Linked DNA regions of Arabidopsis thaliana. The protein of the gene in region 2 interacts with the protein of the main gene of each other region in a biochemical or structural test. Each region holds a gene or a part of one and is shown on either strand. Other genes may lie near its edges.

Evidence for each region.
Region 1: the proteins of AT1G66260 (region 2) and PARP1 form a complex in vitro, tested with the Arabidopsis thaliana proteins (one study listed by BioGRID).

The regions. Positions count from the first base shown.
Region 1 is NC_003071.7:13,350,164-13,367,382, forward strand, and holds PARP1 (poly(ADP-ribose) polymerase 2), read right to left. Parts: upstream 9,588-17,219; 5' UTR 9,416-9,587; coding exon 9,272-9,415; intron 8,523-9,271; coding exon 8,473-8,522; intron 8,393-8,472; coding exon 8,176-8,392; intron 8,079-8,175; coding exon 7,892-8,078; intron 7,781-7,891; coding exon 7,498-7,780; intron 7,349-7,497; coding exon 7,153-7,348; intron 7,054-7,152; coding exon 6,892-7,053; intron 6,820-6,891; coding exon 6,759-6,819; intron 6,677-6,758; coding exon 6,613-6,676; intron 6,521-6,612; coding exon 6,037-6,520; intron 5,953-6,036; coding exon 5,840-5,952; intron 5,757-5,839; coding exon 5,680-5,756; intron 5,577-5,679; coding exon 5,416-5,576; intron 5,323-5,415; coding exon 5,131-5,322; intron 5,048-5,130; coding exon 4,939-5,047; intron 4,803-4,938; coding exon 4,720-4,802; intron 4,610-4,719; coding exon 4,472-4,609; intron 4,343-4,471; coding exon 4,160-4,342; intron 3,931-4,159; coding exon 3,883-3,930; 3' UTR 3,585-3,882; and 1 more. Other genes in the region: INH3 (inhibitor-3), read left to right, coding at 746-1,069; LBD14 (LOB domain-containing protein 14), read left to right, coding at 2,822-3,100, 3,203-3,490; AT2G31335 (uncharacterized protein), read left to right, coding at 10,822-11,004; emb1381 (embryo defective 1381), read left to right, coding at 11,451-11,592, 11,680-12,308, 12,444-12,604, 12,880-12,940, 13,134-13,199, 13,387-13,472, 13,574-13,637, 13,716-13,928 and 3 more; AT2G31345 (uncharacterized protein), read right to left, coding at 15,333-15,545. UniProt on the Arabidopsis thaliana protein: Involved in the base excision repair (BER) pathway, by catalyzing the poly(ADP-ribosyl)ation of a limited number of acceptor proteins involved in chromatin architecture and in DNA metabolism.
Region 2 is NC_003070.9:24,691,544-24,706,690, forward strand, and holds AT1G66260 (RNA-binding (RRM/RBD/RNP motifs) family protein), read right to left. Parts: upstream 7,372-15,147; 5' UTR 7,306-7,371; intron 6,942-7,305; exon of another isoform or gene 6,834-6,941; 5' UTR 6,752-6,833; intron 6,368-6,751; 5' UTR 6,341-6,367; coding exon 6,119-6,340; intron 5,374-6,118; coding exon 5,224-5,373; intron 5,134-5,223; coding exon 5,065-5,133; intron 4,978-5,064; coding exon 4,787-4,977; intron 4,704-4,786; coding exon 4,635-4,703; intron 4,539-4,634; coding exon 4,352-4,538; 3' UTR 4,103-4,351; downstream 1-4,102. Other genes in the region: AT1G66250 (O-Glycosyl hydrolases family 17 protein), read left to right, coding at 1,520-1,604, 2,119-3,369, 3,481-3,508, 3,720-3,873; BGLU21 (Glycosyl hydrolase superfamily protein), read right to left, coding at 8,567-8,774, 8,854-8,962, 9,054-9,156, 9,241-9,275, 9,383-9,600, 9,679-9,794, 9,915-10,167, 10,257-10,344 and 5 more. UniProt on the Arabidopsis thaliana protein: Export adapter involved in nuclear export of spliced and unspliced mRNA.

The DNA.
Region 1 (17,219 bases), on a different chromosome or scaffold from region 2:
CATCCATGTAAAAATCTGAACTAAACCTCACTATGAGTATGAGTAACTTATAAAGTCATTCTATATATTCAGTTTTCGAATCCCAAATAAGTTAACATTATAGTTTTCTCAAAATTAATTACACTGTATTAGTCTTTTTTCTAATATATATATTAACATTTCTTAGAAAATAAATATAAAATTAGACCGAATTTTTTTTTTTTTTTTTTTTTTGGTTGGAGCGACTAAATTTCTCCATCGGCGAAAGAAAAAAAAAACAAAACGAAAAAAAAAAAAAGTTTCTCGATTCAACAAGCGTCCCTTCCTCCTTGGGGATTCACAGGTTTGCTTCTTCGTCGATTTGATTCTTTGAATCTTTTTTTCCCCTAGGTTTAGGTTTCGCTATTGTTTCTACGATCGAAACTAGGTCTCTCTATTGTTTACTGCAACATTTGATTCTCAATTTCATATCACCGATTTGTGTTTATCCCCTGGAATTAGGAATGATTAGGGTTCAGATCTCGTAGGCAATGAATTTAGGGTTAGAGAAATAGCATCTGTTTGGTTTGTTTACCTAAAGAATGAACCCTAAAGGCTTTGTTCTGTTTTACGATTTTGTTTAAGGTCTTAGTTTTTATCTTTAGCTCTTGTCATTCTTAAGCATGTTGTTAGTTGTTACTATTAAGAACTTTTATTCTCTGTTCTTGTATTTTGGTACCTTATGAAATTAGTCTTTTATGCAGATTTTGAAAGCTAATCTTCAGCTATGAGCACAGCAACAAGGCCTTCCTCTTCAGCAACAACTTCTGTCATATTAGAAAACCCTGTTTCTCAATCACAACCTACTGAAAGATTAGTGCTTCGGTTGAACCGGAAGAAGAAGAAAGTTTCATGGAAAGATGGGACTGTAGACAATGAGTTTATGCAGAAGAAGAGTTCGAAGAAGTGTTGCATCTTTCATAAACAGAAGCCTTTTGATGAGGATGACAGTGAAGAAGAAGATGATAACAACCATCACTGTGATCATAACCATGAACACTCCGAATCTGGTGAGGCATCTTCTTCTAATGATTCTAAAGCCGTTGACTAATCAATCAGGTTTTTTCACGTTACTATATATTGAAGCTTTTTAATAGATCATGGAAGAACACACATTTGTTGTTTTGGTCTCTTCTCCTATCTAACCCTGGTTGGGCGTTATGTATATGTACAAGTAATTTGCAGATTCATTGCAATGTTAACTCCTTCATACTCTGTTGAAAATGATGTGAATCATTGAAGATTGCTAATTAGTTAAAGAATTACAAGGATGTTATATTTTCTTTCTACATTTGAATATGCTTTTGCTTTTGCTTTTGCGACTGCATACTATTTCTCAAAATGCAATGTTCGGGTTTCATCAATTAAAAGATGAGCACTATATTATTTTCCCAGTAGAATAGGATTTGCAAAGGGTAAGTATAATGTTTGGGTTTCATTGGCCGATGTTGGGATCAATGCAGCTTCTGGATCAGATGGGTTGTGATTAGGATCGATAAAAAAATATGACCGATATGGCAGAACGATGTAGCTACTGGTCGGATGGTTTGGTTGGCTAGATCGGTGGCTCTATGACCATGATGGTTGATCGATGCGGGTTATTTAGTTGGCTCCAGGGATATTGGATCTGCATTTGACTGATGGGCACGGCCAATGTGGCTTATGAGGGTTGTTTGAGGAGTCCTAGATCAGTCATTGGTGAGACCGATCCCATGGCCGTACTGGTTCTGTTATTTCTTTGTTCCCCGGTCCTTCTTTGACCAAAACTCCGTCTTTTCCGCAAACTCTAGGCACAAGTTAGGATATCTAAAGACACCCGAAATCCTTAACATAGATAAGAAAACAAAAATAAAGCTTCAAACTCAAATTTTTCTTACTATTTTTAATCTCCACTAAACCAACATTAAGTCATAAATCCACTATCAGTTGTTCATTATTATCGAATAATTTAACTTTTGTACTTGATCAATTATTTTGGAATATTTTTGATGTTAATCATGATTCATGATTAATATGTGGGCTGGATAATCATGGGTCTCTCTATTTTTCTAGTCTGTAAAGTTTGATCGAAACTGAGAGCATTTTAAAATATTTAAATCGAGATATAGAAATAACTTGTCTCATATACTACTAATATCAAATGCCTTTGTTCTTATTCTACACACATCTCAATCACTTATGTGGTGTATATGTTGAGCATTGTTAAATCTTAAACTATTGTTTTCCAAATTAAGCAATAATGACAACAATCTTAACATAATTTCACAAGTACATGTAAATTTTCAACTAAACAAACACTAAAAGTAAACTCTAATTTATTTTTCTAAATAAAATAAGAGAGTAAATTAGTTATGAATTAAAAAAAAGCTAAAACCACAACAAAAAGCAACTTGGGTTTGGTTCATGTTTACTCATTGTTTTGTCCTATACGTCAACCAAATCTCTCATTTGATCGGATCTTAATATTAATATGGTTCTCTCAATATTTTCTTAAGAATATTCTCCACCTTAAGAGTTTAATCTCAATAATATATTACAACGAGTTATTGAATATTAGAGAGATGTTTTACAATATAAACTTGAGGGAAAATATAAAAGCTGCAATCTTGTAATTGTAAGCCATTAGAGAGACAAATATGTAAAATAACAAGTTGAGTTATCATAAATCCCACCTTAGTCCTTTACCATAAACACTCGTGCACTATATAATCGTCACTAGAAGAGTATAAGTAATGAAGTATTAATATTCCTACAAGATAGTAATAGTTGGTTAATATCAATAGATTATAATTACGTTTTGAGAATGGGAGGTTTAGGCTCACCATGTGGAGGATGCAAGTTCTTGCGTAGGAAATGTGTAGAGGGTTGTGTATTTGCACCATACTTTTGCTACGAAGAAGGATCTTCTAATTTTGCAGCCATTCACAAAGTGTTTGGAGCTAGCAACTTCTCTAAGCTCATTTCTCATCTCCCTGATCATGACCGATGTGACGCCGTACGAACCATCTCTTACGAGGCTCACTCTCGTCTCCATGATCCTATTTACGGCTGCGTCTCCCAAATCTTCTCCCTCCAACAACAGGTATTATACTTTTTCTTCGGAAATGTATACATAATTTTTTTTTGCTTTTGCTTCATCATCTCTAGTGTACTTACAAGTAACTTCACTGACTTTGTTCTTAAGGTTGTTAGTTTACAAGCACAAGTGGTTCTACTTAGAGAAGAAGCTTCGAGAAGGTTCCCTCAAGATGATCCTGGTTGTAATATGAAGCAACAAGAAAAGGTTCTTGCTCAACAAATGCCACAAGATCTTCACAATTGGTTTCACCAAGGAATCTTGGACTCAGACTTCGACCCAATGAGTGGTACTACACGCGACAATGAGCGGTCCATGGATCATAATGAGTCTCCTTGTAGCTCAAATGAATCACTTAATTACTACCAGGAGGTCAATTTTCCTTGGTCTGTTTGAGTACAAGTGACTACTTTGTCAGAGATGGAACCTTACAATCTTTCTATTGTATCGACTTTTCGACATTTTTCATAGTAGAGATCGAATCATGCAACCATTTTCTCTTTGAGAATAACCACTTCTTCGATGATCTTTCATAGGTACAACATCAGATCTGAACAAGTGTCAAGTCTTAAGAAGTGTCATTACTGAGAAAAAGCATAACAAAATGTAGTGTACGCTGTTTTAAAACCAGAAACATCTACAACGCCAGAGAGTTAAATCTGTGACTACATGTTGGATTCGATTTATCAAAAGACATTTAGTTACAAAAGTTAAGTCTTCGTGTTGGATTCGATTTCCCAAAAAAACATTTAGTTAACAGAAGTGACGTCTTCTTGTTTGGTTCAGGCTCATCTCTTGTGCTTAAACCTTACTTTCAACAAGAACTGCAACTTCACCTGTTCAGAGACAAAGCAATCTTTGTCAGACATGTACACACCATAAAAGAATCAAACACAGAATATGTTGCAAAACTAATAGCTAAAGCCGTATTCTAAAGCATGAGCTTTCTAGGGAATTCAGTTCTCATTCCCAAGTACCCGATAAGAACAAAAGAGGACTTTAGTGTGTGCGCAATATCCCATTGTTGTAAGGAACAAGGAAGATTATTTTGGAAACACAAGTTACCTGGGCTGTATCGTAGACGATATACTCATTGTACATAAGCTCAGAAGCCTTGACCTTTGATGAAACAGGTTTTCCACAGGGAACAGTCACATCACCTCTCCACTTGGCAAACTCGGAATCTTGAGGCACTTTCTTGCCGAGCCCTTTGGTCGAGTGTTTCCCTCTCGGAGGTTTATCCATATACTAAAGAATTGAGGACATAAGAGAAAGTCATATATGAAGGTAAGTAATATCTTAAGTTGTTCATATAGTTTTCAAGATAAGAACCAAATGGTTAGTAGCATAACCTGAAAAACTGTAATATGGGCTCACCTTAGCTTTTGTTAGCTCATGTATTTCTCCCAATGCAACTTCACTCAGAAGCATTAGACCCACCGGATTTTTCTTACAAGTGTAGCAGTACTGAGCACTTTTACTGACAAGGTCAGCAAAGTATATCCCTTTTCCAAACTGAAACATGGGGTTTAAAAAAAGTTCAGATTCTCTAACAAGTTAACTAGATAGTGAAGAACTCTCAATTGATAAGATCCCCACAAATAAGACACAGATAGAGTACTGACCATGTAACCAGTAGCAGGAGCTTCTGGAGGTGCAATTCTCAGTCCTTGGTTCAATATTCCAACAAAATTCGTTAATCGAGAACCTGAAAGCAGATTTATTTTGGTTAAACCAAGGGTTTTGATGATCAACCAGCCAAATATATAGAATCAACCAAACAATGAAATTTCTTGTATCTGTTTCCCAAAGCATGTAAATGTGGCTGGTTGCAGTTGGCTTACCATGCCATAGGAGCATCTTATTGCCAAGTTTTTCTCTGTGGGGAGCATATTTATCAAACTCTCCTTCTCTTTCAAGAGCAAAAACTTCCTCTAGCTCAAGACTCCACTCCTGACAAATCCAGTGACCAGAAATTGAATTAGAAAATTATGATAAACAAAACATGAAAAGGGATAAACAGAGCTTGAACTCACTGTATGCGTTGGGGCATGAGTTGTGTTAAGATACTTCTCGATTAATCGATAATCTTCGCTATCATGAGGAAGTGGTGAGATATCGCAATGCAGCTTCTTATACTTATCATCAAGAGATTCGGTGCTATCAACATCAAAGCCAACTATTCTTGAAGCTATTTCGATATCCTGCAGAGCCTCGAGCATTTTCACCTGTGACACACAGATACAATACCTCTTTGTAACACAGAAAAAGAGGCTAGGAATTAAAAAACAACACCATGGTTCATGTTCTATGGCAAGTACCTTTGACTTAAAGTCATCTTCATCTCGGATAATATGAGGATGAATAGAAGGGATCATGGTAAAAAATCTGTTACTAGCATCAACAAGCAAGCTTTCTTTCATAGTAGGCTGGGGGTCGCTTTCAGTCAATAGCCTCTGTATCTCCGTCAATGCCTCAAAACCTTTAGAAGAACAAACAAGAAAAAACATAATAGAATGTAATGTAGAATTAACATTTTATTATTTTTATCATATAAAAAAGTAAACTAGAGAAGTAGGAGTTACCCTTCTGTATATTATGTTTGCTGAGCTTCCCAAGTGGCATCTCTGACATATTTATCTCGAACTCCATCATTGCAGATCTGCGGAAGTAATTATTAGGTTACTTCATACAGTTTCTAGGGAGAGAAGAGGAGAAGAAGACAATGGCAAATAAGTTTCTAACCTGTAAGTTTCCACATCAAAAAGCATCTTCATCAATTCTATTAATGATGGAGCAAGGTTGCTACTGGTCTGAAATGGCTCTTTTTTGGCTACTTGCTTATTAACTCCATAATCCTAAAACAAACGATACAAAAGAGTTTATTGAACGATACATAAGAGAATCTTAAGAGACAAAGATATAGTCATATGGATGCTTACAATGTCCAACGGGAGAAATTTTCCAGGTTGTTTCTGGAAATTCGTTTTTTGTTCCCAAGATTCCCATGTGTTTCCGGTTTTTTCAAGAAATAGACGTTTGAATTCGTGAACCGCATCAGACTTTGACATTTCCTCCACTTTGTTACCACCAATCTTTTCATTTCCAACTCGGCCCCATTTACGAAATACGTAACAATCTGAACCTTTATCTTCTTGGATTATCTGGAGTATGTAATAACTATTGATACCGGTAGAGAGATCAGACATGCTCAGAGTTGTGTTATAGATACTGTTCCCATCTTCAAGAATGTGACAGTGCTCTTGGAGGCCAGACGCTTCATGCACAGCGCTTCGTCCTTTTACTTTAACAGTGACAAGGCTCTCACTAGTGTCTTCAATTTTGTACTTGTCAAATGGAAGTTTCCTCTGTTTTTTAAAACAATCAACCAAATAATCCTCTCTCACGATTGCCACTTTCATCCTCCTGCCACACATTTATCAACTCCAGCGTTCAAAGTGAGAAAAAATAGTGTGACAAAGTTAAAGAGTATCAGCACAATGAAGGCAATATTCTACCTTGCCTTTCTCATTTCAGCGTCTCTGATATCTGTCAGTCCACAAACAACCAAACAGCTTGTACCTACAAATTTGTGAAACAGAGATATTCAAAAGCTAAAACTAGTGTCACAATAATCAAAAATAGACACTCGAGTTATCCATACCTTTTTTAACATTAGCATGAAACTCTGCACCAGCTTCCTCAATTCTCTTCTTCCATGGTTGCTGCAAAATGATCCCATCAAGCAATGAAGTGCAAAGATAGTCTACAATATAATTTTTGACAGAAGAACATACCCTTTCCTTAGTATTTCCAGCAATTGAAACTTTAAGATCTGCTAGCCTTTCACTCCTTGAGGAGTCAGTTGCATCTTTAGAACCTTGACCCTGAGATGTCTCGCCAGACAATACAGGACGCAGAATACGTTTTGGCTTCACACTCTTTTGAGACTTATTCCACTGCAAGTAATCAAAATATAAATATTAACTTCATGAGTAATATATACCACATCTAACCTAACCCATACCAATATCAACTCTACAAAAAGACTGGTTTACCTTCAGAAGGAATTGATTTTCTGTTTCGTCAGGGATTTTCCACTTCCCTTTGATGCGGTCTGGATCCAAAGTGGAATGAGAACATTTGCTCCATTCTGAGATGTATCCATGGCATCGGTAAAGTCCTCCGGAGAAAGAAAGATGCCCAGAGCACATTGGGCAGAGAGCGAGTGGGCCAAACATCATGCCATCAGCACTAAATAGAAACAAATAGAGAGGTTAGGCATATGATTATGCATCGGTTTCTCTAATCCAAATTACCTTTAAGAAGATCCACACAACAGTAACAGAAATAGAACAAAAGACAAGCAATTAACTTCCAGACAGATTCGCAAAGTAATTTACCATTTATCACGCAGATCAAGTTCAGATCCTCTTGTACTTTGTTCATTTACTTCAAGCATTTCCCGCAACTCAGCTGATGTTACATATTTTTTCAGATCATCCTTCAGGTCCCACAATTCCTTAGTTTGGGCCTCCATTTCCTTTTCTTTGCTACAAGGTTGTAAAGCACCACTTGTAGACATGTCAAAACTACTTTTTGCTAGTTTCGACTTCTCGTTATCAACAGAATCATTTTTTCGTTTTGTGCCTGCTCTTGAATTTGTTTGACGTGCTTCTGCTGTCTCTGTCCCAGTTGGGCCAAAATAAATTAACGGAAAGATCAGACTAAAGTACTGCAAATCAGGATCCTGTAACAAGGAAATCAATATATTACCGTACACCTTAAGACTCTTACCAGTTTTGGCTGCCGGCAGAGCTTTCTTCACTAAGGGAAGAAGAGCTTCTTGGTCTGAGTCTGGTATACTTCTCCATCCAGACAAACTTTCCAGTTCAGTAGAGGAAGACATTTCAAGGAAACATTTAGCGTGATGCCACATCAAACCTTTGTTACCCGGGCCTTCAGGCTTGGAGAATATACGTACCTGGAAAACAAAAATGCAAAACAAAACCCTAATGCATATCGAACCAGTTCATATAAAACGCTACAACCATGACAGATGAAGTAGAACAACAATTTACCTCTCCTTTCAAGATCTTTTCGCTACACTTTCTGCAACCGGCACGAGAAGTTTGTGACACTTCAATCCCATATTCTAGTTTGGCATTATTAGCGGTACTGCTCGTGCTTGTGCCTGTGCTTGTGCTTGTGTTACTCCCTGCTCCAGATTCGACATATTTTCTAATCTTTTGCTGATCTTCCCAACGAAGTGATTCTATGCCTTCAACATCATCAACTCTAGCAAAATCAAGAGACAAAAACGAGTTAATAGCCAAACACTTTAAATATTTGTTCAAAGTGACATTGGTTTTACATACGATTTTATCTGCTTCGTCTTCTTTAGTATACAAGAAGCATGGTTCCACATCTGTGTGAGAAAAATAAAAGTACAAAGAGGATAGTCAGCTAGGAAAACTTCATGTCAACTGGAGCTAAAAGCAACATATAATTAACATGGTGAAGTGAAGCAGCATGAAGAAGGAACTACATAGTGAAAAGAAGAAGAGAAGAATGACCACTGCCATTCCATTAAACAACAAGCATAAAAGCTCATGAAAAACACAGCTGATTGCAATCATAGCATTGGCGGCATAAAGATATCAAAACACAGCTAAACAAACGATTATGATCATCCAAACAGAATAACGTCAGAGTTCCAAAGGGAATAATAGGAGTTCACATACGTCATTGCAGAAAAGCACGAACCTTTTGGCAATCATCAAGTACTAAATAAACACACAAGTGACTCAAATTTAAGCTTCAAATGCTCTTTTATCACATTCGATTAGGCACAAAAGGAGGAAAGAACATAATGTGAGGAAGGTTAACATCTATTTAAGAAGTTAAAAAAGTTCCAATTTTGAGATAGAAAACAAGCTTGACACACACACACACACAAATTTGCAAGGAATGTAGAACAGTGGAAGCAGAGAGAACAGGATTGAACCCTCAAAAATAACCAATTTCAACCAAATAAACCCAATTTGTCTGACAATAATTCTAAAAGAATCAATTTTGTCCTCAAAATCAGAAAGAAACATTAGAACGCACACTAACAAGCACGAGAGTATAGTACAGAGACAGTTCCAAATTCTGGGAGAGAAAAGAGAGTCATACGGGCATGATGCCATCGAAGTGAGTAGATTGAACCAACTTTCCAAGACGAAAGTTCTCCTTGTTAATGACGGACTTGCAAGTTTTACATGAAGACCTCGACGACTTTGCATACTCCGCCCTCCACGGCTTATGTGGGCTTGCCATTTCTCCGGTAAGAGACAATTACACAATGCGAGAGTACTATTTATACGTATGGCTTCTCTATCGAAGATGATTATGATGACGACGGATTGAGGAATGTTTCAGGTGAGAGTAAAGCTTCTCGGCGACGCTTTTCCAGATTGTGTTTCTACCGTTTAACCCTTTTTCCCTTTTTTACCCTAAAAAGTCTGTTTTAAGATTATTGCTTTCAATTATTATTTTGATAATCAGATTTATTCAATGATTTAATTTGATATCAGATTAGTAAATCAATAATTTGCACCCTCCGTTATGCAATAGACGATGATTACTATCACTTGTTGTTTTATATTTTTGAGACAGGAAGAAAAGATTATGTGAACATAAAATTATGGCTATAAAATGACAATAGGGAATTGAAAAAAGAAAAAAGAAAATAGCATTGGTGAAAAATATATTAACAAAAAAAATCAACAAATCATGGACGAATTCGCAGAATCCGTCGAACGATTGAATCATGGTGGTTGTATATTTCGGAAAACATCTGTACATTTCTAGTTTACATTGGAACAAAAATGAGAATTTTGACCACGTAAGAGCTACATTGCTAAATTAAATCCGACATGTTTTGTGTTAGTTTTCGAAACAGCAGTTAGCGTCTCTTTGAGGTTAGAAGCTTGGTATAGGGTAGAGATTGTTCGTAATAACGACGATAAGGTCTCGAGATTTTTGGAACTGTGACAATTACGCGAATGTCCATCTTTAATTCGGCGTTCAGAATCAGTGTTTCTTCTTGAAAAACTGCTAGTTGAATTTCTCATTTAGTTTATTTGTTGTGTTTTTGTTTCGATTTTTTTTTTTTTTAGCTTTGCAGCCTTTTTTCGCTATAATTATATGATTGCATTTTCCATCAAAATTTTCAGAATATTGTACTAACAAAAAAAATCCAACATGTACTACAAGAAGCAAAAAAATATGAAATTGATCACCATAATTTGTCAGAAAATCAAACCGGGAATACACTAATCAAGTTGGACCGTAATAACATCCCGGGTGCATTTTCCTCCTATTTGCTTAAAAATTCGTGAGACGCGTGATCTTCTTCGCCCTTCCGTATGAGCAAGAAATCTTGCGGTCCAAGACAAAACCGGTTTACGTGTTAACTTGTTTAATCAGTCTCAATCTTTATTTTCTAGTTCAAATGTCGAGAACCAATTTTTTCCAACTAAAAAGTCAATCCATAAGAATCCAAGTAAACCCTCCCTGACGACAAAAAAAAAGTAAACCCTCCCTCTCTATATATTTAACTCATATTCATATCTTTCAATGCGACACAAAAGAGTAAACGAACTTACTACAAATACTTTTTAGTACAAAGAAACAAAGTTAAAGTGATGATTATGAAGAATTAAGTAATCTTTGGAGTGATTATGCTTGCCATTTTTGTGGTTTTCTTGGACTCCACAAAAGTAGAAGCCACGAGGATGTTAAGAATCACCTTCGATAGTGATATCCGGTTCGTGTTCGAGTCCTTGCAGAAGGGTACGGTCCCTGGATCTGGTCCTAACCGTTGCTCTCACATCCCCAAAGGCTCGGGTTCGTGCCACGGATGATCCCTCTTGTGAATCTCAAGCTTGATCTCAATACCAAAATTTGGACTATGGGTGGAACTTTTTGTATTCATTTTTGTTGTATACGAGAAACTATGCTTTACATGTTCTTGTAAGTTGTAACAAAGCTATGAGAGCAAATTTGTTTGAAAGTATAAGTTTGTTTAACAAATTTGTAATAGTACTGGAAATGTTTGATAACCGGAATAATAGTCTTCTTATTTGGTTTAAGAGACGATAAATGATTCAGATTGTATAAACCGGTTCATATTGGTTCGATTGTATAAACCGGTTGAGATTGGTTCGAGTTGAAATTTGTTCTTCGTTGGCGAGAGATCCTTGAACGCTTAAACCCTCCATGGTTTTGGATTGAACATTTCCCCTGAGATTTGGGAGTGTCCTTAAACCCCATACACTGATCGAGCTCAAGAAGAAGGAGAAGCAGAGAAATGGTGAATAAACATTGGAAGATAATTCCAAAGCCGCTTCTAGAAACAGTTCTCAACAACCATGTCCAACGCCACCGTGTTCCTCAGCCTCTCATCCTCCATGGTCCTCGTGGCGTCGGCAAAACCACATTGATCCTCAACCGTAAAATCCTCTCTTTGAATCCCTAATTTCCCCAATTTTGTTCAAATGATCGTACCTTTGATTCGTTCCCGATCTCGTTCTTATTAGGTCTACTCGGAGATTGGAACAAAGGGCCACATCTCGCTGGCTATGTAGATTTTGCGCAATCGATAACGGAACACCATCCAGATCACCACCAATCATATCCATGGACGTCTTGGACCAGTGTTGACCCACCGTTGTTGTCCAATTGCAAAACCCAGCTCGAGAATTGTCTTGAATCTATGAGTCACAAAGCTATCAAACTTGGGAGTATAAGCTCGCAGCAGATTTTCACTACTATGAACAAATGGTATGGTCTTAATACTGCACTTCGTCGTATACTTCAGGGTTATAACATTGCTGTTCCAGAGAAAGTCTCGGTTTCATTTCTCTGGGAACGGGCTGTGTATGCCCTATCTGTTCGACAAAATGCCGATGAGATTGATGGGTTGCTTGAATTGGAAGAGAAAGGTAATAGCTTGTCCGTTGAAGAGGCTTCGTATTATAGAGAGACTGCTTTTGCGTTAAGATTGGCTAAAGAGGTTATTAAGGTGCACCAGGGTTGGAAAGCCAATGCCATTGCTCATCTTAATCGAACTAATGGGTTTTCGAGAACTTTAGCGAATTCATGTACTGATTGGCCGTTGCTAATGCTTGAGTTGTTATCACAAGCTGCAGAGATTGGCTTCTTCCAGGTAATGGAATAGATAAGTAATGGAATGGAATCTTTGATCTTATGAGTGGTAAACAGTAAATGTATTCATCTGGAAACAGTTTGCCAACTATTGATGTTATTTTTGTTTGTCTCTATTTCTTGTTTCATTTGACAGCCTAAGCTGGTCTTGAACAACATTGAAATCTTGAAGAGGGCTATTCAGACTGATGATTCAACAGTCTCAGCGTCAATGTACCATGACAATCTTATTTGGAGAATAATAGCGTTAGGTGCGAATGAGCGCTGTCTACCTGTCCTATTCGTGACTTCGGACAGGTTTGTCCTGTTTTTTGTTAGCATTTTTGGGTTTAATAAGGACAATCTGTTACTATCTGATGATTACGTGGTCTCTTAATCTAGCCTTTAAGTTTCAATTTCTCAACACTAGAGGGGAAACTGGTTTCTGACTTGTATCACTTTGTAGTATGCCATTAAGTTACCGAAAGTCTGAATAATCATTTTCCATTCTGAACTTGGCTCTTAGTTACAGAAATGTCTTTTGAAACTTTTTTATCATTTTATCTGATGTCTAATAATTTGAATTATGACAGCTACTATTCATATCAAGCCTTTGTTGACTACGGGTTTCCAGACATTTTCATCTCTCGTGAGGTATAGAAGCTACATGTATACATCTAAGTAAACTATTGATTCTGTGTGTATTTGTGTGAGCATGTATTGGTAATTTGATATATTATGTAGAGTTTCCCCGTCTCACCTTCATTATATCAACATGAAAGTTCATTTTTTATTTTTCTTCATTCTACCTTTCTTACGTTGCACTTTGGCTTTGTTTCATTTGTAGACATTTGGATGGAATCCTCAAGAAGCAAAATTACACATGGTTCCTGATTACTTCAGTGCTTCGGAGGTGAGAAAAATGCTGTAGGTAATGGCACTGCTTGTTTAATGAAACCAAAATATGTGACAACTCTAAAACCTAATAATATCAAACCAGAAAGGTTGAATGATCTTTTATGCTAAAATTTTACTGGTCATTCTTTTTTTAATTGAGATGCTGTATATTACTAGAGGTTTAACATATGTTGGAATTGTAGTGGACTATCATTGCTGATGTTCTTGGTGCGAATTCTCGGCATCTATTTGAGCTTTATGCGCTTAAACAAAGTAATCATTACCAGAGGTAATGGTTTCCTGTTCTTTCGTTTGCTCTAATCTCAAAATGTGTCAACCCTCTATTTTTTCGTTTCTCAAATGTGACCTAGTGCCGTTGTGTTTTATCAGTTTGATGGGGAGTAAAGCAGGTACATTTGAAGATATTGTGGATGCATACTTGGCATATTTACAAGTAAGCTCATTTAAAGTGATTGCTTTCAAATTACGCACGAAAGTCATCGTTAATTTTATAGTCTATTTCCTTGTTTAGGTTGCTGTGGTTAATCCTGCAATGGACAAAGCGTTGTTGCGGCTTCAACGGTATGCCACTGATGTACGAAAAGGAAGCATTCCGTATGAAAAATTACGTTTTGGTGCTTCATGGAGGCATCCTCCGCAAACTGAGGATCCTACACAGAACTCTGAGTGGGCTAAAATTCAGCTGATGGATTTTGTCCAAGCTCTTGTCAATACAGAATTCGCGGTACCTACTCTTCTAGACCCTTGATGGAAATAAAGCCAAAGTGTTCAGTTTTACCTTATCGGACATGAAACTAATGATTATAGCATCACTAATAGTGTACAAGCATCAATGATTCTATAGGTAAATTATTTGGGTGACTATAGCCTTGAGATCTTTGAAGACCCTTCAGCTATGGCATTGGTTGAGGTAAAAACTTCTATCTTTTCTTGATCAGTAGACACTAATTTCGAGACCCATTTTACTAAAAACTGATTAATTCTGTTTCAGGTTGGGATACTGTATACTCAGCGAGATCCATCTTTTTTCCGGCCAATATCTCAAGGCATTAAAAGATGCCTTGTTAGATGGTCAGCAAACTTTCTTCCCTTCTCCTATGGATCTGCTCTTTGAAACTCTGTTTTTTTACTTACGCTCATGATTTGCATTACAGGCTCATCCAAGAGCGGATGCAGATGAGTTATTGGAGCTCAACAAAATATTGGTGGCAGAGAATCATCCGGGGTCGTTATTACAAGCATTTAATGCTTGGCTACAGAACATAGGCAGTTTCACACAGGTAGAGACGATTACACGCTCTGTTTCTAGCTCTCTTGCATCACATTGCTTTAGAGGATAATGAACTTAGGACTTTCGTAAACTTTCGATTCAAAAACTTATCTGTTCAAGTTGATGCGTTAGCATCGATGAATCCTCAAGTCTCAACAAACGTACAATGTTGCTGTTACTTCTACTGATAAAACTAATTATCCCAAGTTTCACACATCAATGCAGGTTTTGTTTTCACAGGAACGTCGATGAAATCTCGGTATCTTGTGCACGTACACATGTCGGACTCAGGTTTTACCGTGAAGTAGAAAACATAAAGGGGCGTTGTTTTTGTTGCCGTCAAGGTCTGACTTTTAGTAAAATCACATTAAGAAGAGACGTCGGAGGGAAAAACCTCCAGCTACAGAACGGTGTAATCGTGTAAGTGGGAATACATTGCCATGAGAACGTCTTTCTCTTCAGACGCTGTATATAAAGCGCATGTTGCTGTGTTTATGTCGATTTTTTTCAAGTAAAATTATAAGTCAAAGAATTCAATTATTCACTGTATTGTCTACCTTTCCAAGCCGAAAAGTCCAATAAAGTTTGTTGTTAAAATGAAAAATCTTTGGATTGTTACATTTACATTTTTCTTGACCAACTAGTGAATAGTGAAAAAACATGTTTGTATTGAGTACAAACACGCTAATAGACTAATTAAATTTCCGTTGATTACAATTCAATTACATGAGACGAAGTCTAAAGCTATCGTATAATTACGTAAATGTAATTATGTACGTAACACACAAATGTGAGGAAAAAAAATATGGAATTAAAGAATGATGAAGATGAAGAAGAAGAAGATTCGTATAAGACAGCTCAGTTATGGCATCTGCCTGAACCGCGAGGAATATTAGTGCAACCGTTCCGACCAGAACCACGGACCGGTCCTCTTTGCAACGCCTGAAACAGAAGCCGGATCTCATCTACGGGATCTGGGAAAGGCCTCATGGCTTCAACTTGCGTAGCGTCCAAGAAAACAACGAACATAACAACTAACATAACTACGACCACCAATTGTTTTTTCATCATGTTTAGAATTTTAGTTTTTCGAATGAGAAACAAAAACAAAATTGAGCTTTTTTATTGGTGAATGTAGAGTTTTTTTTGTTTTTGTTTTGTATGTGTAATAAATTCGATAATGACTCATATATATAGGGTTTTTGAGATGTCATTGTTTGACTTGTGCTAGTTTGGTCTCACTATCTTATGTTTATGTATACACACACATACATGAAATTTGACTTTGACTTTACTACAAAAGAATTCGTTTTCAACATTTTGAACCAAATTTGAAGGATTTTGAAATATAAAATTCACTTAGACACGGTTTGTCCAAGTCCACACAGGCTTTTGCTAAAAATATACAAGACCTGGCCCTAGCAGCCTCATTCTAAACCGAATTCTGGTTTCGGTTCAGATTGGTTTCATTTGGCTTCGTAGTCAGATACAACTTTCTCTTTTCGTGACAGAGTGTGGAAATGGATTCTCTTTTGCTAATTGAAAGATATTAATAGACACTCAACTAAAATATATATCATCTCTTACAAAAGCAAAGTGTTTTCTTTTTTTAATAAGTTGGATAGCTTTTGGTGAAGCTTTGTTCTGAAAGAGAGTAAGAGATCATTGTTAATAATATGGTAGTACTTACGATACTAGAGATCTTATGATAAAATAATGCGAAAATAAAGATACAAGCATGCATGCGTCAAAAAGTGTTATGATGACAAATGAATGTACTCTAATTTTCATATCTAAATTTTTACTAATATTCTGAAGGTATTAATTTTCGAGTTATTAAATCGCTGTAATATGTTTATATTTTGTAAGAGAAAAATTTGGGGTACTAATAAATTTGTCTTTAGCCCTTTTTCGTCTAAATGTACGAAATTAAATGATCTATGGACGATAATTTCTAGTTTGATTCATCGTATATACTAGTCCAAATTGTAAACCAAGGCATAAGATTCGTCGAGAATGACAACCAGAAGAGATGAGGAGTGCTAATTAGAGGTGATAAATCATAAATATACCGCCACTCTTGGTTTGAGTTTCTCTTGTACGTAGCTACAACTTGACAACTATGCCGCCACTTTTTTTTATTGATCCGTACCATTTGTATTGTATGCAACTTTGGTATCATTTTGTTGTTGACAAAGTTGGTAATCCATATTGTATATCACATTGGTAAAAAGTTGCTAAAAAAGAGTCTATGCTTATTCATCAAAATTTTCAAAGGATTGATTTATCAAAGTTTATAAACACGTGGACCATATATCAAATCAAAATTCCAATTCAATTCGGTAAGTTATACTGTAGTTATTAACGAAATTTATGTTTGAAATTAGTTAAATATGATTATTTGTTTACGTTTGCATTGAACATGTAAGAATACCACACATATTTTAAGATGGTAAACACAATATGTATAAAACTCAAACGAAACTTTAAAGTCGCCTTATTTTATGATACACCTGATCAGTAAATACCACAATACTATTACGTTCATAAATATACATGTGTTTCACTTTCATTAGGAGCAGTAAAGTAAACAATATGCGTGGAGATTAGAGATTTTTCTTTTATTTTTATATTTAGCTTGATTATAACTTAATAAAAATGTGTATGTGTTTATAGATAAAATCAGGGTTTGTTTGTTTATTTGACTCGGGAATTTTGGTCTCTTAGGAATTTCATGAGATATGA
Region 2 (15,147 bases):
AAGTTATGTCATGTATGCTCAGTGTTTCCTCGCATTACTCTCCAATTTTTGCCTTGCAAGATACTTTTGTGCATGGGCATGGCTTGTCACTTGTGTCGCGAACCTTGTCTTCACATATTTCCTCGATATATTTCAATCTCTTTTTCTAGTATATTCTTTAATCCTTCCAGATATAATCTGAAACTTCATTGAATTAACAAGTTCATAACCAAGATCGTCTATCATTTAAAGGCCTTAATTAAAAAAGAAAAGTCAATAACAAAGAACACTTTGTTAATATCCTCACATTAAATTAATTAATAATCATCTATAAATATATCATTAACCAACAGACCCGTTATTCATTTTTAAAACTTGATTAATTCTCTCGCAACCACCCACAAAAGTGATAAAAGCATAAGTATAAAAATGTCAAGAGATTTGACAAAATTTTGTAGGCCGAGTTAGATTGACTTAGGTTCGTCCCAAACGGCTAAATCACTTGTCCATGCTTACCAAGATGCCAAAATACACGACATATTCCACAACAAACAAATTCCGCTATCTGATAATTCCCGAAAATATGTTCCAAAAATATATAGAAATGATGGAAACAAAATAATATTTTAAAATCTTTAATATTCATTAACTAATGATTTATGAAAAATTATTAAAAAATGATTTGAATATTTTATAAATCTATTAAGACGAAAACAAGCCATGTTTATTCTCTCTTATAAGCTATGTATAGTATTTGTAAGTTACTATTAGTATGGGTAACAATTATAAGAAAACGAATCAATTTATTAATAGATAAATTAAGATAAAATCACATAAAAGTAAGAAAAAGGACCAAATGTAATAAAGAGTAAGAGAAATACAGAGAAACAAACAAAAGAGTCGCAACGGCTATTTCGTAGTTACCAACTTATTTTGCTGTCCAATGCACAACTTGTTCTTACACCAAAAGTTGTGCTCTTTAAACTTGCATTTATTCTACCCAAAAAAAAAAAAAATTGCTCAATATATATACAAATATATACCATAGTTTATCACTAACAATCAGTAGTATTATGTTTCACACTAATATACTCAAAATTAATCATCAAATCATATTAATATTAGTGATTAACAAACAACAAAGAAGCTAATTAAGACTTTTCTTTCCCACAGTACAACTCTCTGACTGTGTAACTCACTCTGTCAACTACAAGATTACAAAAGACCGTTAGATTTCATCTTTGACCATTTGAAATCTTAAGATCAAATCTCAGCCGTCCATTCCACCGTTACCAATCTCTCTCTTTCGATATAATCAACAAATTTTCTAACTTTTTCTCGGTGTCCTTTCTCAATCAGAAGCTTTACCCTATTTTCTCTATACCTCCCACGCAATTTCTCTCATTCCTTTCTTTGTGGGTTTTTGTTTATTCTTCACAAAGTTAACATTTTTAGACTCAAAACTCATTCTTTTGCCCTTCCTCTGTTTCTCCTCTCTTGGGGTTTATCTTAGATTCTCCAAAAAAGTCTCTCTCTTTCCATGGCTTCTCTTCTCCATCTTCTTCTCCTTTCTCTTTCTCTTTTAGTTCTTGCTTCAGCTTCTCCTTCTCCTCCAGCTGATGAAGGTGAGATTCTTGTATCTGATTCAATCTTGTACTTTGAGTTTCAGATTCAATCTTTACTCCCAAATTTGAAAGTTTTGATTTTTGCATGTGTTAATGTTCTTCTAGAAAACCAAATGTTCCATTTTTTATGTAGTAATAATTCCACTGTCAGTGATTAATGAAAATAGCTTTAATATAAAGTAATTAAAGACAAGTCCTTTTGTATGTATGTGTTGGATTTGATTCATTGAGTATGTTTGAGAGTGTGGTAGGTTATGATAATAAATGTCAGTATGTGTGTTTGGCAGGTGGGTTTGTTTTTAAATGCTCACTAAGAAACAAGAAATGGTGAATTTTCATGTCCCCAAATATTTATTACAAGACAAATAATTCAATGTCTAATGTTTTGACCAGAGACATAGTTCTTTTTAGTTAAGTCTATGAATCCAAATCTTTGAGTATTGTACACTCTTTTGGACTAGTTCTAGATATGTTGATACTAATGGTTTAGTTGAAATCAATATATTTTTTGTAGGTTCATATATTGGAGTAAACATAGGGACTGATCTTTCTGATATGCCACATCCAACACAAGTTGTTGCTCTACTAAAAGCTCAAGAAATCCGACATATTCGATTATACAACGCTGATCCCGGGTTGTTGATTGCTCTAGCAAACACTGGTATCAAAGTTATAATCTCCATTCCTAATGACCAGCTTCTTGGTATAGGTCAATCCAATTCAACCGCAGCGAATTGGGTTAAACGCAATGTCATTGCACATTACCCTGCAACGATGATAACCGCGGTTTCTGTTGGCTCTGAGGTGCTAACCAGTCTCTCTAATGCAGCACCTGTTCTAGTCAGTGCTATAAAGAACGTTCATGCTGCTTTACTCTCGGCGAATCTTGACAAGTTGATAAAAGTTTCTACTCCTTTATCAACTTCCTTGATTCTTGATCCTTTTCCTCCATCGCAAGCGTTCTTTAACCGTTCTTTGAATGCGGTTATAGTTCCGTTACTAAGCTTCTTGCAGTCAACAAACTCATACCTGATGGTGAATGTGTATCCATACATTGACTATATGCAATCAAACGGTGTGATTCCGTTAGACTACGCGTTGTTCAAACCGATACCTCCAAACAAAGAAGCTGTTGATGCAAACACTCTTGTTCGTTACTCAAACGCTTTTGATGCAATGGTTGATGCAACGTACTTCGCTATGGCGTTCCTCAACTTCACAAACATTCCGGTTTTAGTAACCGAATCAGGCTGGCCTTCGAAAGGAGAAACCAATGAGCCTGATGCTACACTTGACAACGCCAACACTTACAACAGTAATCTCATTAGACATGTTCTTAACAAGACCGGAACTCCGAAACGCCCGGGGATCGCTGTGAGTACTTATATTTACGAGCTTTACAATGAAGATACAAAAGCAGGTTTATCAGAGAAGAATTGGGGGTTGTTTAATGCAAATGGTGAACCGGTTTACGTACTTCGGTTGACTAACTCGGGCTCGGTTCTAGCTAACGATACAACGAACCAGACTTATTGTACTGCAAGAGAAGGTGCTGATACAAAGATGCTTCAAGCTGCTCTTGATTGGGCTTGTGGTCCTGGAAAGATTGATTGTTCGCCTATTAAGCAAGGAGAGACTTGTTATGAACCGGATAATGTCGTCGCGCATGCTAACTACGCGTTTGATACTTATTATCATCAGACTGGGAATAATCCTGATGCTTGCAACTTCAATGGTGTTGCTAGTATCACTACCACAGATCCAAGTAAGAAACATAAAAAGCCTTTTTTGATTATACATTGCATTGTGTAATACTGTTTTTTACCGTTAATTAGTAAAAAAGCTAATTTTTTCTTGCTTGGTTGTTTCAATGCAGGTCATGGTACATGTGTGTTTGCTGGGAGGTAAATTATTCTGTTTCCTTATACTCTTTTGTTGGTAGATATGTTCATTCTTGGTTTCGATTAGGAAATGTATTGATTTGGTTTTTCGGATTAAAAAGAATGACTTCATGTTAATTGTGTTAAGTTTTTTTTAGTATCAGATCAGTTAGTCCAAATGAAACACTCATATTGTATAAATTTTTAATGGTTGTTTATTTTACCTCGATTGCAGCCGCGGTAATGGTAGAAACGGGACGTCTGTGAACATAACAGCGCCATCGGCAAACTCAACAACTTCTTCTGGAATACGGAGTGATTTGTATTACAGTCGGGGTATATGGAGTATCTTGACAGTAATGATTTTGAACGTTGCTAATATCTTGTGAGAAATCTTTGGGACATAACAATGTTAGTTTCTGTTCCGAGAAGTTTTTTTAACTTTCTTAGGTGGGATTGGAGTTAGAATTGAGGCCGATTGTGTTGGATTCGATTTTGTACACAACAAAAACCAAGATAACATTCTAATGGTCTTTTTTATCCCATTGTTCGTTTTTGATCCGTTACTCAGAAAGTGAAGTTTAGGGTTTCTGTAGATAAAATTCACAATTGACTAAAAGATTTTTTCGTATATTATTAGATTCAACCAACTAACAATAACAGCTTTCTCATTTACAGCTAAATCTCTTTTAACTTCAATAACCAAAAGTGACTGTGAAAGTGTGAAACAAGAAAAGAGGAAAATAAAAGCAGAGTAGAGCCATCCTAAACGTAATTAAACCAAACCAGACTTTGCCACATATTTAGTCAGAGACTAAGAATAAAGAACACAAAAGTACATGACAAGATGCGAAGTCTTGCTTCTGTTTAAGAGATGTTCATAGCTTCAGCATGATAGCTTTCGAGATCTTTGTCGAGATCCGCAGCAGACTTCTCCACTGGCTTCTTTCCACCTCGCCCACCGCTTTTATTCCCTCTGCCACCACCATTACCCCGGCCTCTACCACGGAACCCGCCTCGACCAGCTGTCACACCACCTTGTTGGTTTTGTTGGCTGTCATAAATAAACAATATGATAAGATAAGATGATAAAACCAATGCATGATCAGCCCACATGAATGACAACGAGATCAGACTCTTGAACACTTACAGTGGAAGGCGTCTCCCAGAAGGACCTGAACCTCTTCCTCTTCCTACTCTCCCACCTCTAACTCCTTGTCTGCAATAATCAGTGATACATTCACTTCAGCACATAAACTCAAAACTATTCTCTTGTAAAAAAAAAACAGACCGGCAACATACCCAATGAAGACACTCCTCTTCATCCTTCCATTCAATCCAGTCACATTAACACGAGCTGCGACAGGAGCAGATTCAGTATTTCCACCCAGAATCTCCAGTTTCATAGGCCTTCCATCCAAAAGTACATTATTGTATTTCCTCATAGCTTGAATTGCATCACTTCTTCTCATATACACAACTTCAGCCGATCCCTGTATGACACAGAACATCAGATATCAAATATTACAGAAACACGGTAATGAACAGATAAACCATAGCAAAAAGAAAACAGAACTTACACTTGGACGCCCATTTTTGTCATAGTGAATTGCATATCTTTTCAGCTCTCCAATTTCAGCATAGAGTTCCTAGATTCCATATGATAGTACAAACCAATTTCAGAAAACTCCACAGAACCAAAACAACAGAAGCACTGGAACATAGATGTCAGGCTATACCCTTATATCTTCATTTGTCACTCCCTGATCAAGGTTGGTAATATAAACTGTGGTTCCGACTTCCACTCCTGATACCCCAACAGCTCTAAGGGTTTCTTCATACAAATCATTCTGATTCTGCCATGGCAAGCTCCTCTTCCTGCGGGCAAGCTGATCCAGTAGAACATATCAAGTCAGCTAAAAGGGTCTGTAGAATCTTGAAGCCACATTAATCAACAAATTTCTTGAAAGAGGAGAAAACACCCATTTGGCTGAAAGTACTAAAGCAAAGAGCTCCAGGAAGAAGTAGTCAAGAACCATCCAAGGAGATACCAAATGAAACGTAGGGAAACAAGTAAATTTGACTAACTTCATATGAATCATACTGGTGTTATCAGTCAGTCTCTGAAGCCAAAAACGAAAACTGAGACTGCCGTCACACTCCGAAGAAATTCCAGATGTACCATCGTGAACTTCATGCATAGTGCAAATACCCCCACTTTGATAACCCATCATAAATCCTATTTACTGTTAAAATTTCTGAAATTCCCCCTAAAACCACACACATTTTCAGGCTTTATCCCCCTGTAGATAACCCTATGTGGACTACTTAGCTTAAAGGAGCTCCTCAATAAACCTATAGCGAGTGACAATATCAACCGAAAACTTCTGCACATCTATTCATGCCTCTTGAAGTTCCCAGATTTTAACCATAAAAACCACTAATTGCAGGAAAGAAGCTTTTCTAAGAAGATGTTAGAAGATTCTTGTAATCTGAATCATCATCAGAAGTAACGGTATATGCATGTATGATTCTTCTCCAAGGACAAAAGAGCATTAAAAGATCATCCATCTTAAGTTTTAGCATGCTTCGGTATTTGGTGGCACAGAGTTCCAATCAAGATTTCGAGCTTGCCTTGTTTATGGAGAAGGATGATGATGGCCGAGTATTAACAGCAAGAGGACCTCTACGAACAGGTCCACCTCCTCTTCCACCTCCTACAACACCATTAGGTCCACCACGTCCACGTCCACTCTTACGGGAAACTCCTTTACCTCCAGACCTTGCAGCTGCAGACCTTTCACTCTTACTCTTCTTCACAATTTCATCAAGAGTCATATTCAAAGCGTCTGACATCTTCAATCCAATAAAATCAAACTAAACCTGAACAAATTGGAGTTTAGAAAATTACAATTAGCTACCACCAACACAATGACAACACACGCCATCAAAATCGAAGGAGATCAAGCAATAATTATAAAATTCAAGCTCAAATACACAAATCAAGGACGGTGAATCATATCCACTGCTCGAATTCAAAGATCTGATTATCGGAACATATGAACCAATAGATTCCTAAAACCTAGAAAACAATTCTCATAAGCGATATCGAGAAAACACGAATCACTGCAAAATTTTAGACGGAAACTCGTAATCGCATCTCAGAAACATAGATCAAAGCCCTAGATCTAGATTCGTAATCGAAAAAGTGAAATCAATCGGAAACATTATACGCGAAACCAGATGAATCGAGAATCGAAACGTTACCAGATTAGGAGAAAAGACAGATCGGAGAAGATCGAGAGATCTGTGTTAGGGTTTTGAGGAAGCTTTTGGGGATTTTTTTTTTCTCTTGAGGATTTGATGAACGAAGGGGGGGAAATAGTTTGTGATTGAGATTACTGGTTAATGGAGAGGAGAAGGTATCTTTTTTTATATAGGACTAGGTCAGCAGGGTAATTATGTAACTTTTCTCGATTTAGGGGGGGCGTTTTGCGTCTCTTATCAAAAGTAGACAATTACCAAAAAACCGTAAGGGAAGATTGCCAGCTATGCGTTTCCGCGTTTAGTTAAAAATAGTTTATAAGATAAGGATTATACTTTTCGAAGATATCAAAAATGCCCCAGTTGTTTTTCTAATTGATATGTTGATACTACAATTTTTTTTTTTTTTTTTTATTGTGTATATGTAAGAATCTATCAATCTATCATTCCTACGGAACCTTTTTGGTACTCCTGAAAAACAAATCTTGATCAAACCTATATTTGCATATGCAGTTTAAGATTATGTCCAGTGGTGAGAACCTTCTATAGACTCTCACTATTTTTTTGTTTTATTTTTTTTTGGAAAGATTTATTAATTTTGTTATCTTTCCATGGTAGGTTCTCCAAGTAGGGTTCTTTAAAAGAAAGTGTATATGATCCTTTGTGGCTCAAGATCAGTTCCAATTTTATTATGTGATCCTTGTGCCTTGTAATAGATGTCTAAAGATGAGTGTTAAAGAGAAAAACAAACCAAAAGACATGACTCACTACAGAGCATAAATTACAGTATATGCATATATTTCAAATCTTACCAATTTGGTAGGTCTTGTCTTTCCTTTTTTGACAGACAATCCTTCCAACTCAGCTTCAAAGCTATCAATCTACGACTCTAGTTCACTCACTCACATATCAAAAGCACGAAAATAAGTAATGAATCAGCTACAGTACTGATAGGAGATGCTCCAAGAATTCTCAATTTTACAAAAGAAACAGTCTGAAAGTGAGTTGGCCTTTAAATTTTTTGCTTTTAAAAAAAAAATCTTGAAAATCACTATTTACATAAATCGTTTTTGATAAGTGACTACTAGTAAGATAGAATGTGATGATTTCATTATTAACACATACGTTTGATTGTTTTTTTTTGTTTTTTTTTGCTTGCTAAGAATGAAATATGAATTTCCAAAGTAATGAATGATGTTGGTATTGCATGGTGGATTTATTTGGTTGCATCATGCATGGATTTTATTTCCTTAAGGTATATAGAAAATACGCTTGGCCAAATGAGTGAAAAAGAGATATCTTCTCTTGCTGGTCGTCCTGTTTTTTAATCTAAACTAGTGACTTTCAAAAATAAAATATTAGAACTGTTTGGGAAAATGAATTGCCATTGTTTATTTCATCGCCAACGTTTAAGTTGTTAGTTTTTGAAATGTTTGTACTTAGTTGTTAAGACGACGTCAAATTATTTCCTAATCTATTTCTATGTATAGAGGTAAATTCGTATTTTTAATTTTCTAAAACTAATGATATTTTCTTACATCATTTTGTAACTCATAAATTTTTTAATGTTAAGGTTGTATGATTCAATTTTTCTTCAAGTTTGGAAGGTAAAACATATTTAACTTCACATATTGATTCTCAAAAAGGATAACGTCATTAAAACTAAAGCCTTCTTGATCTTGTCGAATAAGCTAGAGATTGAAGGAAAACGAAACACTTTTATTATTATTAACCACGACTCATGAATCGTGCGTGGTCAATCACAAACTAAAACATAGGAAAAACATCGAATAGAAAACGAAATCCTCAAAATATAACTTAAAGCTCATCCCTCTTGAGTGCGGATGGACGAACACCTTGAGCGAGGAAATCTTTGTAATACTTGGCTGATTCTTTCTCATAACGTGTGAGGTTATTTTTGAAATCGACGTAATAGAGTCCGAATCTGTTTTTGTAACCATCTTGCCATTCGAAGTTATCCAACAATGACCATACAAAGTATCCCGTAACTCTCACCTTATCGATGCTGCACAAACACAATTATGTTCTTAATTAGACCATTCAATAGAATCGTTAGTCAATCTATCAAATAATAAAAGGCTTACCAAATAGCCTCGTTCATAGCCAGAAGATGCCTCTGAAGATAATATTTCCTGTTATGATCAGCAGTACCAACGTCAACCGAATCTGTGGTCCCAAGTTTATCTCCATATCCTAGAAAAAACAACATTATAATGATCAGTATATTACTCTTAAGAGTTAAGATTAAATCAACACACAAATATAACAATAAATCTCGAGTTACCATTTTCCATTATCATAATCTCCGGGTTTGCGTATTTGTCCTTGATGTACTTTAAAAGCTTTCTAAATCCTTTAGCGTAGACGGGCAATGCAGCAGTAAGAGGCTGAAATAAAGCAATGGTGAAAATGTTATGTCGTAGACAAAAATTAACAATCACAAACTAGGACTAGTTTAATCAAACGCTTACCATGCTACCAATGGCGCTGTGATCTACATTCTTAGCTGAAAAATAAAAAGTGAAAATGTATGCATATCAATTAGTATTATAAAACCTTTTATCTTTAGTTTCTTGGTTTGGTTTCATGTACGGAAAACAAAAAAAAACTTACGTTCCCAGGAAACAAGAGAATCTTGCTTCCAACTTGGTTTAGACGGATCTGGCTTCTCATTATAATTTGAAAATGTCGAAGTATAGTAGTTAAGCCCTACGAAATCGGTCGAATCTTTCAATTTTGCTTTTTGTGCAGCAGTAAATTGAGGCAATCTGTAACCAAGAAGGTCTTTCATGATTTGTGGATAATCTCCCGAAGTAGTTGGCTCCAGATGCCTACACAAAATTAATAACTACATTAATTTTTATGAAATTATATACGAGAAACCATTTTCTAACATAATATATACTTACCATCCCAACATAAAGTCAAGTACACGGCTAACAGTTGGAGCGTCATTTGAATCTTTAAGATCATGTGGTTCGAACCAAGCCGGACTATGTGCGATTCCGATTTTCCCACCTTTAACCTATGTCCATAAACACAACACAAAACAACCTATTTTAAGATTCGAAACCTGATAATTAATTGTGATTTATATCTAATGTGACCTGATAATTAATTATGATTTATATCTAATGTAAACTACCTTTTGGCGGAAAACTTCAACAGCTTCTGCGTGAGCGTTGAGGAGATTGTGACTGACTAGATAAGCCTCTTTACCAGATTGTCCCTCTCGGTCTTCGCAACCTGGAACGTAGCGAGAACAACGTCCTGGTGCTTTCTTTCCTAAGTCGTAACCTGCGTGAGCAAAGACCCATGGCTCGTTGAAAGTGATCCAGTTTTTCACTTTTCCACCGTATTCAGTGAAAACATAATCTGCATATTCTCGAAAATCTTTCCTGTATTTTTGCAAAAAAAAAAGATACCAAATTAATAATTTCCATATAAACTTAACTAAATGTATTTTGTTTAATTTACAAAAACATACACAATGTTTTGGCTTAAGAAACCGCCATATTCGTCTTCCAAATCTTGTGGAGTGTCCCAATGGAAAACAGTCACAAACGGAACTATACCTATTTATGACGTAAAATAGAAAGAAATGTTAAATAAGGATACTATATTACTTGTATTTTTGTGAACTAGGTATTTTATATGTATATAACCATTTTTAAGGAGTTCATCGATGAGCTCGTGGTAGAATTGCACACCAGCTTGACTCACTCCCTTCTCCTTTCTCCCATCTAATAAAGCATTACAGTTTGTTTCATTAGTTATTGATACTTCAACATTCACATATACATCATCTAAATTCATTGGTTATTAGTATTATATAACAATCACATAAATCTAATTTCACCAAATTCGATTAAAACAAAATCAAACTAGAGATCTGCAGACATATACTCACGAGGAAATATTCTTGACCATGCGATTGAGAGTCTGAATGCATCTGTGTTTAGATTCTTCATTAGCTGAATATCTTCCTACAAACATTTTTAAGACAAGGCAAAATTTCAATAACATCTCGAGAATATAAGTTATGTTTGTCTTAAATTTATATTAATATATACCTTATAACGATGGAAGAAATCAACGGCCACATCGGCGTGGTCGCCACTACATCTCTCTGTAATTTGAAAGTAATTAAGAAAATTAATGGCTATGTATTGATATTAATTAGTTAAATTTAATTTAATATTTAAACATACTGTATTGAGAATGTAGATTATACGAGTACACTCACCTGGATTTCTTCTACAGTAGATATCCCATAGAGCCGGTCCACGACAAGTTTCATTAATTGCACCTTCGACCTAATGACATAACAAAAAATAGTTGATGAGTTGAGGAATATCACATGCACAAATGATTTCAAATGATAGGTATAACATATTTTGAGCAACTTTTACATAAAAAAAAACCATATTTTAAAAATATGGATTTGAATTCAGATAGAAACACAATAACGACACTACTTTTTGTTTTTTGAACTATGATTTAGTAAATCTGTTGTACCTGAAACGCAGCAGTAGCCGTGCCAAACAAAAACCCATTAGGGAAACTTGCTCGGCTTAGCTTGGAAGTCGCCGGGCAAACAGGATCATCAACCGCTGTTGTCACAGAGACGAGGATGGTTAGGAGCAAAAGCAGCCCCATGAGAGGAAACTTTTGCAATGCCATTTTTGTTTTTAGTTTCTTCTGGAAGAGAACAAGTTTATGATGATTTGTTTACATCCAATCGGAGTTCTTTATATAGCGATTTTGATTGTTTGTTAACGAGTGACTAAAATATAATTGTTTAGTAAAACTATTTTATATATAGGATGATTCATTGCATGACCTCGACCGTTGTGTTCTTACTTAGTTTGGAACATATTATATTGTGCGTGGAACTAATATAAGTTCTTCATCCATTTTGGATTTAATTATTTGATTAGTCCATTTTGGATATCATAATCTCCCAATATGATTATTTGTGTTTCATAATAAACCTTTTTCGGAATAACTCTTATGTACTTTGTCTATGGTTTCGATAATTAACTATGTTCATATATATATAAATATATAATATTGGTGTTTTATATAATTTAATAATTGTATATTATTTATTTGGTAATTTTTGGTTTAAACCACTGTCGCATCTACTGCTAAGCCAATCATAAAATTGCCGTAAATACACATATTTTTAACTGTAAACCAGTCATTTAAAATGTCCGATAACGTTTAAAACCTCAACCAATTACTTCCATTAACTTCCACAATGACAACCACACCCCGTTGCATTTAAACCAACGAAAACCCTAAATAATAACAAGCCTATTTTTGATACTCAAATAATTGGAGACTTTATTATTTTTCAAAACTTAATTGTAAAAACATATTTTTTAACTTGTTTAACGAACATTACTCTTAATCTTTCATAAATCAGTTTCTAATTCGAAAAAAAGTTATACCTTATTCTGAAAAAATTCAGGTAGCAAGTAAAGGATCTCTCATTTAATGTTTGGACTAATGAATGACTAAACTATATGAGTATGTATTTAGTAAGACTATTTTTATAGTATATAGGATGCTTCATGGCACGATCTCGATCATTGTATTATATATAGTTTAGTAAATCTATTTAATAAATAGGATGATTCATTGCATTATCTCGATCATTGACTAATTCTTACTTATTTTTCCTAGTTTGGAACATATTATATTGGGCGTGGAACATATAATATAAAAACGTGACTTAAAAATATATCATGTATGTCCAAAAAAAAAGTTTACAGCATGAGGAGTCCTCGAACCAATCGGCCGGCCCTAAGTCAATGGATCATTTAGTGCCTCGTATAGATCTAGATCGAGTTTTGGATCTTATTTTGTTATGGACGTTAAGTTATTAATGTGTTAGTGACTAAAATATAAATATATAATACAACTGTTTAATAGGATGACTCATTCCATGATCTATATGGTTTACATTACTTTTTTGTTTTCCAATATATAGTCCTCGTGTCTAAAACTCTAAACTAAATTATATCCTCTTTATATTTTATAATTGACACATTTTGCGCGAATAAAAAGACAAATCATTAACTATACAAATATACCATTACTTTATTAGATGATATTTCCTCTATTTCAAATTATATGATGTTTTAGATTAAAACACACACTTTAAGAAATTTATTTTTAATTATAAAATTTGTTCTCTTGATATTAAAAATACAAAATACAAACCAATAGTCAAATAATCAAATAAAATATATTTAAAAATTGCATTGATATTAGTAAAACATCCTAAATAAATCTCTGAAATATCCTATATAATGAATCAGAGTGAGTGTTAAATTTAAAACAAAAATATGAATAAATTAAAGAATAAACGTGGAAGTTTATTTGAAAAGTAAAATTGGAAATTTAAAATAACATGTTTTTTTTTGAAACAAAATAAAAATTCCACAAGAACACTAGTGGTTGTTATACAGAAGGACTATTATTAAATATTTTAAATTGGATGATTTCATTGCACGATATATAAACGTTGAGTTGTTTTTTATTTTTCTAAATCTTGAACGTATAATATTCATCATGCATAAACGTTGAGTTGTTTTTTTTATTGAACAGAAATAAAAATCCTCAAAATATAACTTAAAGCTCATCCCTCTTTATCGCGGATGGACTTAGGCCGTGTTCGTTTCATCAGTCAGATGGATCATCTAGATAGAGATGAGTTTTGATGTTCGTTTGGTGCCAAAAACGGTTCATTCAGATGATCTATCCAAATAAATCATCTGGATGACTTTGAAAATTTAAGCTAAATTTTGAAACTTATTTGGCTGAATTTAATTGGATCATTTGGATGGAGATGATCCAGTCAAAAATAACAAATAACAAAAATACCTTAATTATTTCAATTGATTATTTATATGTATTTTTTCGATAAAAAAACAAATAGACTTAAATCTTATTTTACAACTATTTTTAAAAAATAAAAAATTAAATTTTCCACTAAAACCGCAAAATTATTTTTTTTTCCGTTAAAACCGTAAAATTTTGTTTTTCCGCCAAAACCGTAAGATTCTGTTTTTCCGACAAAACCGCAAAATCACGTTTTCCCGCCAAAACCGCAAAATCACATTTTCCCGCCAAAACCGCAAAATCACGTTTTCCCGCCAAAACCGCAAAATCGTGTTTTCCCGCCAAAACCGTAAAATCACGTTTGTCCGTCAAAACCGTAAAATCGAGTTTTTCCCGCCATAACCGTAAAATCACGTTTTCTAGTCAAAAACGTAAAATCACGTTTTTCCGCCAAAACCGTAAAATTTTGTTTTTCGCCAAAACCGTAAAATCGAGTTTTCCCATCAAAACTGTAAAACCACGTTTTCCCGCCAAAACCGTAAAATAAATTTATAAATGTAAAAAACTATTATTTGAAATTTATTTACTTTTAAATATATTTTAGATTAAGAATTAAAATTAACATGTTTACAAGTAATAATAAAAAATATAATTAGATGAAAGCATGGGTAGTTTAGGTATTTGTATTATTACAAATCATTTGGATGGAGATAGAGATAAGCAAACGAACATCTCATTCGGATGGTCCAGTCAAATGAACCGACTAAAAATGAAACGAACAAGAGTTAAATAAATCATCCAAATAGACATGTTGAATGGATCAGTTGGATGGATCTATCAAATGTAGAAACGAACAGGGCCTTAAAACCTTGACCAAAGAAATCTTTGTAATACCTGGCTGATTGTTTCTCATAACATTGAGATTATTTTTAAAATTGACGTAGTAGAATCCCAATCTGTTATATTAGAACCATCTTGCTGATATTATGTTGTGTTCATTTTTATGTACATTGTCTTATCTTATCCGATATCAAATTATGTAACTTGATTTTATCTAAATTGTTTGGAAAGATTAATCTCAAACTTGTAGCTACGGTGTGACATCTTATCCGATCTCAAATCATGGTGATTTTCTAAAAATGTTAAACTATTTCCATTGTTTTATTTCATCGCCAAGCGGTTTAAGTTGTTGAAGTTATTAGTCATTAAAATATTTGCACGATTTAGTTGTTAAGACGACGTCTAGTTATTGCATAATCTATTTCTTTAAATAGAGGTAAATTCGTATTTTCAATATTTTAAAAACTATGATATTTTTACTTCATATTTAAAAACATCAGTCCTTTTGTAAATTTAAGACTTTTTTTAATATATATAATACAATATTTCTTCATGTTTTGAAGGTAAAGATACCTTCATATAAGGATAATATATTTATACTAAAGCATTCTTGATCATGTCAAATAAGCTAGAAACTGAAGGAATACAAAACACTTTTATTATTATTAACCAAGACTTCATGAATC